Arabidopsis thaliana: one gene and its partner. Each later gene encodes a partner of the first gene's protein in a complex. Each region holds a gene or a part of one and is shown on either strand. Other genes may lie near its edges. A codon is read from its position in the direction of its gene.

What was found.
Region 2: the proteins of PROPEP1 (region 1) and PEPR1 are in contact, whole or in part, in a crystal structure (PDB 5GR8), measured with the Arabidopsis thaliana proteins. Residues at the interface, in NP_569001.1 of Arabidopsis thaliana: Lys76 (codon at 806), Gln77 (codon at 803), Arg78 (codon at 800), Lys80 (codon at 794), Glu81 (codon at 791), Lys82 (codon at 788), Val83 (codon at 785), Ser84 (codon at 782), Ser85 (codon at 779), Gly86 (codon at 776), Arg87 (codon at 773), Pro88 (codon at 770), Gly89 (codon at 767), Gln90 (codon at 764), His91 (codon at 761), Asn92 (codon at 758); in NP_177451.1 of Arabidopsis thaliana: Asp129 (codon at 2,469), Tyr153 (codon at 2,541), Tyr155 (codon at 2,547), Val175 (codon at 2,607), Tyr177 (codon at 2,613), Asp179 (codon at 2,619), Val198 (codon at 2,676), Glu199 (codon at 2,679), Ser201 (codon at 2,685), Tyr203 (codon at 2,691), Tyr225 (codon at 2,757), His227 (codon at 2,763), Phe249 (codon at 2,829), Thr271 (codon at 2,895), Asp273 (codon at 2,901), Ser275 (codon at 2,907), Tyr276 (codon at 2,910), Ala295 (codon at 2,967), Val297 (codon at 2,973), Val299 (codon at 2,979), Ile319 (codon at 3,039), Asn321 (codon at 3,045), Glu324 (codon at 3,054), Lys345 (codon at 3,117), Asp348 (codon at 3,126), Glu369 (codon at 3,189), Phe371 (codon at 3,195), Leu393 (codon at 3,261), Tyr395 (codon at 3,267), Thr417 (codon at 3,333).

Annotation. Positions count from the first base shown.
Region 1 is NC_003076.8:25,935,114-25,938,691, reverse strand, and holds PROPEP1 (precursor of peptide 1), read right to left. Parts: upstream 1,615-3,578; 5' UTR 1,440-1,614; coding exon 1,290-1,439; intron 882-1,289; coding exon 753-881; 3' UTR 516-752; downstream 1-515. Other genes in the region: PROPEP2 (elicitor peptide 2 precursor), read right to left, coding at 3,347-3,520.
Region 2 is NC_003070.9:27,482,429-27,488,951, forward strand, and holds PEPR1 (PEP1 receptor 1), read left to right. Parts: upstream 1-1,811; 5' UTR 1,812-2,084; coding exon 2,085-5,079; intron 5,080-5,216; coding exon 5,217-5,593; 3' UTR 5,594-5,776; downstream 5,777-6,523. Other genes in the region: AT1G73066 (Leucine-rich repeat family protein), read left to right, coding at 1-1,153; AT1G73090 (WD repeat protein), read left to right, coding at 5,836-5,953, 6,193-6,388.

The DNA of each region.
Region 1 (3,578 bases):
AGAACACCAAAAAAATCATGATGTCTAAAGTCACAGTGAAGATTGTTAAATGTGTTTTATATTCGAAGTTGGTGTTGCTTCTGCTCCTCGTGGAGTATATTTTATTAAATCATAGAGCGATCATGCGTTACTCATAGAGAGCACTCGTCAACTTTGTATATAATATTACCATTCATAATGCACGTTGTGAATTGTGATAGGATGATTATCACTGCGTTTAAGGTTTTTGTTTATTTTATTTTATAACATCTAACTTTATAAATTATTGGTATGATGATCTATAAACAAAAGTATGGTGAATGCAAAACTTAATTCTTTAGTAATTTTACATGACCATTCTATGAGTGAAGACATTAAATTATAATTAATGTGAGCTAGCTAGGTAGAACCAAATAGCTGTTGACTGTTAAAATAAATCCAAAAATATCAATTAGGTTCGTCTTTAATGTTGTTTAACATTTGACAGATACGTTCGATATGGATGGATATTAAATGCGTTCAATTAATATTGATACTGGTTATGAACTTATGATGGTCGAACATATTTACTTTTGTTCAACCCAAATATCACATCAAATACGGGAAAAAAAAAATGCATGAAATAAAGAGGAAAAAACTCGTATAGTGAACAAGAACTTAATGAAATTTTGTTTGTCTGTAGATTGTTGATATAATAAAAAAGTAAAACAGTGATATTAAATTAACACATTTCGACTGCAAATAATTAGACTAAACAATGTAACTTAAAGTGCCTAATTATGTTGGCCAGGACGGCCTGAGCTAACTTTCTCCTTCCCCCTTTGCTTTGCCTTGACCTTTGTGGCTCTACTCGTCACAACGACCTCCTCCTTTTCCATGGTAACGTCTTCTTTTTCCTCCTTCTGCAATTATAAACACATGTACATATCTGTTGGATTCATGTTATATAATATTCCTAAAACATTGCTAATGACTTTTAAAACCAAAATATAATTACCTGATTCTTATTCTCATCTAAACGTAATTTGATATTTTTAACAGGATTAACTCAAAGTAAAAATAGCTAAATACTTTGATCATATCCTAGCTAACTCCAAAAGTATTGGAAAATATATTTATATACAAACGTTCATTTATAAATTGTTACTACCAAATCTTTAACATCTTTTTCATTTTTTTTGGTGTTCAAATAAGAGATTAAATTATTTCCATTTTTAAAAATTCCATGCATAACCGCTTTATAGTGTATACAGAACAGACATAAATTAATAATCTCATATTAGTCCAAAATATACTCTTGCAAAGCTTACCGGCTGTTTCGAAGTTCCGGGAGAGGACGTTGTCGGAGAATCTTGATGAAAAAGACCAAGGCATTTCAAGATAGCTCTGAGGGTTTGGTCGAGGCACTGAAGAGGAATCCATAGGTGACTTTCTTCGCTTCGTCTATCTGATTTCTCCATTGAGATCTGATAAGACAGAGGAAAACTTTTATTAATCTGATTAGTTTTGGTGAGAGGAGTGAAGCTGTTTTTTATATGTGAGTGATTGCGCAGAGAGACATCTTTGCCTTTTATAGTGGGCTAACTCGGTATTGGGTGTGACTCTTTATTACTATAAAATACATTTTCATAAATCTTGACTCTTTTTTATTTTTTGGTGAATTCATAAATCGTGACTTTTGAATAAGAATAACTAGTCCATTTTCTGATTCTTTGATTAATTAGTTGACAAAAAATAATCAAGAATGACATTCATTCACGCGTAATTATAAATATATATGATTTGTTGTTGTTATTAGTGAAAATAAGCATGTGGCGTTTGGCTTTAGGTAGGTTGATGACTCAGCTAATATTTTACATATACTGGAATAAACATTACAAACAAAAACGAAAACAGTTCACTCGTCGTCGTCCGATGACGAATGTTGGACTATAGATTGAATATTTAATATTTCCCCTAATTTCTTATAGGAAGTTTGGATCAAATAAATAAATTACAATCGAACTAAATATTTATGGTCATTAGTATGTTCAGAATATAAATTTTTTTTTTATTTTTTAAATACATTAATTTTTAAAAAATACATCAAATGGTTAAAAGTTTGTTTATTGAATTAGGAGAAAGATGAATGATTGACTAAAATACGATGCTCTTACTTCTTATAATTGTTTTGTTGTCTTGGATTGGTTCTATAAAGCCACGACGATAATGTAATTAAACAATTGTATTTTTTGTTCCCCTTATAAAACAAATCATATATATGAAAATTGGTCAACTCTCTCCAAATGAATAACACATCATCACACAAAAAAATGACATGTGTCATTCTATATTTTTGTATTGACTTAAATGACATATAATTTTTGTTATCTTTTTATTTTTTCATACGAATACTTTTCAAATCTTATTCAGTTGATATCAATCCAAATTTTAATCATAAGCCTATCACAATGTTGTTGAAGTACATAAAACAAGATTTGGTTTATAATTGAGTTAGGCAAATTTTAAATCACACAAGTAACATAATTGCTCATAATTTTTTCAGAATATCATATATTGTTGTTATATGTATTCATGAAGTGAAAATATTAAAATCTTATAAATAATCAATTTTATACATGAAATATATAAATTGATATTTCGAGTTACAAATGAATATAACCATAAAATATAATTACATATTATTGATATAATTTTATTAACAATACAAAAATAAATAAAGAATAAATATAAATTTGCAAAAAAACTATAAATGTAAATATTTTTTAACAATTTTCAATATAAACCCACGCTTACCGTGGATACTCATCTAGTGTATTTAAAGGTCCCCACTTGTCAGTTGTAGGAATTTGTTTAATACTAGATTTTAGGCGTTTACTCGTGAAGACCAGCGAAGAAGTTTATGTGTTTGATTGATCTAAACTAACTCAATTATTATCCGTTTAAAATATAACCGTACCTTTCACTATAATTTACTTATTTTAAAGACGTATAACTAAAAAAAAAAACGACACAGCAATTTCTTGGTAAAAATTATTAATTTTGAAATCAGCTGAAAGCTATATCAATCAATACACATGGTATTAGATTACTAGGTAAACAAAGTGTGGTAGAAATTGTCAAATCAAGTATTCAAGTCAGATTAACTTGTACTAGATATATGCATGCTTTGATCAAGAATAATACGTCTTCAACAATTAGTTCCGATTCAAAAGTATATACATTCTGGTCAATTTTGCTGTCTTGAAAAATGAGGAAACCAAAATAAACTACGTACGAGTTTTTCATAGAAGTTTGAGTAAAAAAAAAAAAGGAGCAATGACTGACTCATTGGCCTCTTGGATTTTTCGACTCAATTTTTGACTTCTTAATCCTCCTTATAAACTTGTATTGCCGCGTTGGGTACACTATTAGTTTGGCCAGGACGACCTGAACTAGGCTTTTCTTTATCCCTTTTCTTTGATTTGGCCTTGTTGTCCCTAAGCAACACAACGACATCATCGTCTTTCAGAGCAACACCATAGTCTTCCTCTTGTTCCTCCTACATTACATTTAGATTCATTTTATTACTTAGACATATTTTGGTAGCTATTAAAACC
Region 2 (6,523 bases), on another chromosome or scaffold:
CTGCAGCAAGCTGGAGATTCTGTATCTGCACAAGAATAAGTTAGTTGGTTCATTGCCTGCAAGTCTCAATCTTTTGGAGAGTCTCACTGATCTGTTTGTTGCAAACAACAGCCTAAGAGGAACAGTTCAGTTTGGCTCAACCAAATGCAGGAATCTGGTGACTTTAGATTTGTCATACAATGAATTCGAAGGTGGTGTCCCTCCTGAACTGGGAAATTGCAGTAGCCTTGACGCTTTAGTCATTGTGAGTGGTAACTTGTCAGGTACAATCCCTTCCTCATTGGGTATGTTGAAGAATCTCACAATTCTTAACCTTTCCGAGAATCGTCTTTCTGGGAGTATCCCCGCGGAGCTCGGGAACTGCAGTAGCTTGAACTTGTTGAAGCTGAACGATAACCAGCTTGTAGGTGGAATACCAAGTGCATTAGGTAAGCTGAGGAAGCTAGAAAGTCTGGAGCTTTTCGAAAACCGGTTTTCGGGCGAGATTCCTATCGAGATATGGAAGATTCAGAGTCTTACGCAGTTGCTAGTTTATCGGAACAATCTCACAGGAAAATTACCAGAGGAAATAACCAAGCTCAAGAATCTCAAGATCGTTACTCTCTTCAACAATAGCTTTTATGGAGTGATACCACCCAATTTAGGTCTGAACAGCAACTTGGAGATTATCGATTTCATTGGTAACAATTTTACAGGTGAGATACCACGAAATCTCTGCCATGGAAAGATGTTGACAGTGTTTAACTTAGGATCTAACCGGCTTCACGGCAAAATACCGGCATCCGTTAGTCAGTGCAAGACTCTAAGCAGATTCATCCTCAGAGAAAACAACCTTTCAGGCTTTCTTCCTAAGTTTTCGAAGAATCAAGATCTTTCGTTTCTCGACCTCAATAGCAACAGCTTCGAAGGACCAATCCCTCGTAGTCTCGGAAGCTGTAGGAATCTCACGACCATCAATCTGTCTCGGAACAAGCTCACGAGGAATATTCCTAGAGAACTTGAGAATCTACAAAACCTTAGTCACCTGAATCTTGGGTCTAACTTATTAAACGGTACGGTTCCTTCAAAGTTTAGTAACTGGAAAGAGTTGACCACTTTGGTTCTCTCCGGAAACCGGTTTTCAGGATTCGTTCCGCCCGATCGCCACTCTTAGAGAGAAGGAAAACAACCATGTATTCCAGTGACATCATATCAAACATTTTTACTATACAACATACTCTCTTTTTTTTCTTTGCTTAAATCGTTGTATACCTTTTCACCATTCTTATTGCCGCTTAGTACATTTTTAATTGATAACACAAAAGTTTCGGTTGATAAGATCCAAATTCATAATATACAAAATTCTTATTTAACATTCAATAAGAAAAAACAAAATTTGCTAATGCTACGATGTTACCCACTCGGAAGCTTACCATAGTCTGTTAGTCATAGTTTGAAAGTCAATTTGGTCAGCTGTAGCTTACGGTTAGGCTGTTCTTATCAAATAACAAAAAGAATGTCAAACACGTATTTTATCGTATTCAATTTAGGGCACGTTGATAACGTTTCCAAAACAATTATTCAATAGTTGGTAATGAAAATTAATGAAAGACCCAAACCTAATGAATGTTAACCACTAATTGACCATTCACCAACCAATTATTTAATGAAATATCTTTGTTAGTTTCGTTATTTAGTATTGTTAACGGTTTCTTACTCTTTTTGACTACATCAGACGGACGTAAAACGACATCGTTGTCGAATATTCAAAAGATTCACAATTTGACAAAGAGAAACAGAGACGACTTGTTTCTAAAAAAACCACGTGTGTCTGAAAACGGAAAAAAAGAAGACTGAATGAGAAACGGCGTGTAAAAAGAAAACGCGTTGAAGGTTAGGCTCTCACAATCGTTGGTATACAGAGAGACCAAACATCTCGTCATAAAAAACGGCAAGAATCATCAGTTACTTTATACCCATCAATCAAGTCTTGTCCTTTTTCTCCTTCTCTCTCTCATACGAGCTTCTTTCCTGCTGATGAGGCTTGAGCTTTAAATTTTCAATCTTGATTGAGATTCTGCATGTTTCTCGATCTTTAAACTCAGATGAAGAATCTTGGGGGGTTGTTCAAAATTCTTCTGCTTTTCTTCTGTCTCTTTCTATCGACCCACATAATTTCCGTTTCTTGTTTAAACTCAGATGGGCTAACTCTACTCTCTCTTCTGAAGCATTTGGATAGAGTACCACCACAAGTTACTTCGACATGGAAAATAAACGCATCTGAAGCAACTCCATGTAACTGGTTCGGTATCACTTGTGACGATTCTAAGAATGTTGCGTCTCTCAACTTCACTCGTTCTAGGGTTTCAGGTCAATTGGGTCCGGAAATTGGGGAGCTCAAAAGCTTGCAGATTTTGGATCTGAGTACTAACAATTTCTCCGGGACTATACCTTCCACTTTAGGAAACTGTACCAAACTCGCTACTCTAGATTTGTCTGAAAATGGATTCTCTGATAAGATCCCAGATACTCTCGATAGCTTGAAGAGGTTGGAGGTGCTTTATCTTTACATAAACTTCCTCACTGGTGAGTTACCTGAATCCTTGTTTCGAATTCCGAAGCTGCAGGTTTTATATCTTGACTATAACAATCTCACCGGTCCGATTCCTCAAAGTATTGGTGATGCTAAGGAGCTTGTGGAGCTGAGTATGTATGCGAATCAGTTCTCTGGTAACATCCCTGAGTCGATTGGGAATAGCAGTAGTCTGCAGATTCTTTATTTGCACAGGAACAAGTTAGTTGGTTCATTACCTGAAAGTCTCAATCTTTTGGGGAATCTCACTACTCTGTTTGTTGGTAACAACAGTCTACAAGGGCCGGTTCGTTTCGGATCACCTAATTGCAAGAATTTGTTGACTTTAGATTTGTCATACAATGAATTCGAAGGCGGTGTTCCACCTGCATTGGGAAATTGCAGTAGCCTTGACGCTTTAGTCATTGTGAGTGGTAACTTGTCAGGTACAATCCCTTCCTCATTGGGTATGTTGAAGAATCTCACAATTCTTAACCTTTCCGAGAATCGTCTCTCTGGGAGTATCCCCGCAGAGCTCGGGAACTGCAGTAGCTTGAACTTGTTGAAGCTGAACGATAACCAGCTTGTAGGCGGAATACCGAGTGCATTAGGTAAGCTGAGGAAGCTAGAAAGTCTGGAGCTTTTCGAAAACCGGTTTTCGGGTGAGATTCCTATTGAGATATGGAAGAGTCAGAGTCTTACGCAGTTGCTAGTTTATCAAAACAATCTCACTGGTGAACTACCTGTGGAAATGACTGAGATGAAGAAGCTAAAGATCGCTACGCTGTTCAACAACAGCTTTTATGGAGCGATACCACCGGGTTTAGGTGTGAACAGCAGCTTAGAAGAGGTTGACTTTATTGGTAACAAACTTACAGGAGAGATACCGCCAAATCTATGCCATGGAAGGAAGTTGAGAATACTCAACTTGGGTTCTAATCTGCTTCATGGTACAATACCAGCTTCTATTGGTCACTGTAAGACCATCAGGAGATTCATCCTTAGAGAAAATAACCTTTCAGGTCTTCTTCCTGAGTTTTCTCAGGATCATAGTCTTTCTTTTCTTGATTTCAATAGCAACAACTTCGAAGGACCAATCCCGGGCAGCCTCGGAAGCTGTAAGAATCTCTCGAGTATTAACCTATCTCGAAACAGATTCACGGGGCAGATACCTCCACAACTTGGGAATCTACAAAACCTTGGTTACATGAATCTTTCTCGTAATCTTCTTGAAGGGTCTCTACCAGCTCAGCTATCTAACTGTGTGAGTTTAGAGCGTTTTGATGTTGGCTTCAACTCATTAAACGGTTCAGTTCCTTCAAACTTTAGTAACTGGAAAGGCTTGACGACTTTAGTTCTCAGCGAGAACCGGTTTTCAGGAGGTATTCCACAGTTCTTGCCTGAGCTTAAGAAGCTGTCAACTCTGCAGATTGCTAGAAATGCTTTTGGTGGTGAGATTCCTTCGTCGATTGGGTTGATAGAGGATCTGATCTATGACTTGGACCTTAGTGGAAACGGATTGACAGGTGAAATTCCAGCCAAGTTGGGAGATCTCATCAAGTTAACAAGACTCAACATATCTAACAACAATTTGACAGGATCTTTATCGGTTCTCAAAGGTCTTACCTCATTGCTACATGTTGATGTCTCCAACAATCAGTTCACAGGTCCAATACCAGATAACTTGGAGGGTCAGTTGTTATCTGAGCCGTCGTCGTTTTCAGGAAATCCAAACCTCTGCATTCCACATTCCTTCTCTGCTAGCAACAATAGCCGCAGCGCGTTAAAGTACTGTAAAGATCAATCTAAAAGCAGGAAGAGTGGCCTTAGCACCTGGCAAATCGTGCTAATAGCGGTCTTATCGTCTTTATTAGTCTTGGTTGTGGTCCTTGCTCTTGTTTTCATTTGCCTACGTCGTCGCAAAGGAAGACCAGAGAAAGATGCTTATGTCTTCACTCAGGAGGAAGGCCCATCTTTGTTGTTGAACAAAGTTCTTGCAGCAACTGACAATCTAAATGAAAAGTACACCATTGGAAGAGGAGCTCATGGAATTGTGTACAGAGCTTCTTTAGGCTCCGGAAAGGTCTACGCTGTGAAGAGACTTGTATTCGCGTCTCACATCCGCGCTAACCAGAGTATGATGAGGGAGATTGATACAATCGGTAAAGTCAGGCACAGGAATCTGATTAAGTTAGAAGGGTTTTGGCTGAGGAAAGACGACGGTTTAATGCTGTATAGATACATGCCAAAAGGAAGTCTTTACGACGTTCTCCACGGTGTTAGCCCGAAAGAAAATGTGCTAGACTGGTCTGCACGGTACAATGTAGCACTTGGTGTCGCTCATGGACTAGCCTATCTACACTATGACTGCCATCCCCCGATTGTTCACCGTGACATCAAACCAGAGAACATACTCATGGACTCAGATTTGGAGCCTCACATTGGGGATTTCGGTTTGGCTCGCCTTCTTGATGACTCAACGGTTTCAACTGCAACTGTTACAGGCACCACCGGCTACATTGCACCAGGTAATGCATCTTCTCATTATACATAGTGGACTTGGTATAATCTGGTTTAGTGTTCAAACCGAGTTAGTTACCGGTTAAAAAAGTCTGTTAGGAAGATACTCTGTTTCTTATTAGCTAATTTCACAATTAAACTGCAGAAAACGCTTTCAAAACCGTGAGGGGAAGAGAATCAGACGTTTACAGTTATGGAGTCGTGTTACTTGAGCTGGTTACGAGGAAGAGAGCGGTGGACAAATCTTTCCCGGAAAGTACAGATATAGTAAGCTGGGTGAGATCTGCCTTGAGCAGCAGCAACAACAATGTGGAGGATATGGTAACAACAATCGTCGATCCGATTCTCGTGGACGAGCTTCTGGATTCGAGTCTTAGGGAGCAGGTGATGCAAGTGACGGAACTGGCACTGAGTTGTACACAGCAAGATCCGGCAATGAGACCAACGATGAGAGATGCGGTGAAACTGTTGGAAGATGTGAAACATCTGGCAAGAAGCTGCTCCTCTGATTCAGTTCGGTAATCTCGTTACTTTGTGCAGAGCAGAAGGAGGAAACTAAAGGACTGTTATCAGTGGTAACGTAACTGGGCTTACCGGTAATGTAACTGGGCCAATAATGTAAAATATGGCTTATTGAAGGCCCAAATATGACGGCCCTTTAATTGTAACCGTGTTTGTTTGTGAAATAAAATCTCGTTTATCAAATTTCTGTTTCCTATTTTATTTTTAAAAAAAGTGTTGGGAAAATTTTCGTTTGGCCGGAGATGAAGATAGGGGCGGTTCAGGAGAGTTGGCTTATACGGACTCCGGTACTTAGGCCGGCGGTTCAAGGCTCAATTCGCCGGAATGGAAAGCCGCAGCTTGAGTTTCCTCTCTCGAACAGTGAGCTTAAGCTCTTCTTTCTTCCATTGAATTTTTTTTTTGGGAACGCATTATCTTGTGCACACTTGTAGTAACTTGGTCTATATCAAATTGAGGTTGAAGATGAAAGTTCAGTTATTTCCTGTGATTTGCAATTTCCTTGTTGATTGTATGTTGTATTTGAGTCTTGTTGGATATGTAAAGAGAACAAAAAGAGAGTGAGAGAGTGAGATTTGTGTGATAAATTTTGGATTTTACAGGGTTGTCTCGTTGTGTGGTTATGGCTGTTCAAGGAGGGAGAGGATATGAATCTCCATGGGATGAAAAACCCTATGAAACTCTTCCTACTGGTAAAAGGGTTTATGTTGATGAATCTGATGTTGTGACGTTTCTTGATCCCCCCAAGGAGTTGATTCCATTGGACCCTGCTTCATATAACCCGGCTGCTTATCTCTGGTTAGTCTGATTTGGTTGATTTAGTTCCAGAATTGATTCATTCTAAGCTAATTGATAGCATATATAACTTAGTCATAACACTAGTGATAGCTATACATCATGGACTATGATTAGGTATTTGCTGCAGTTTCAGTT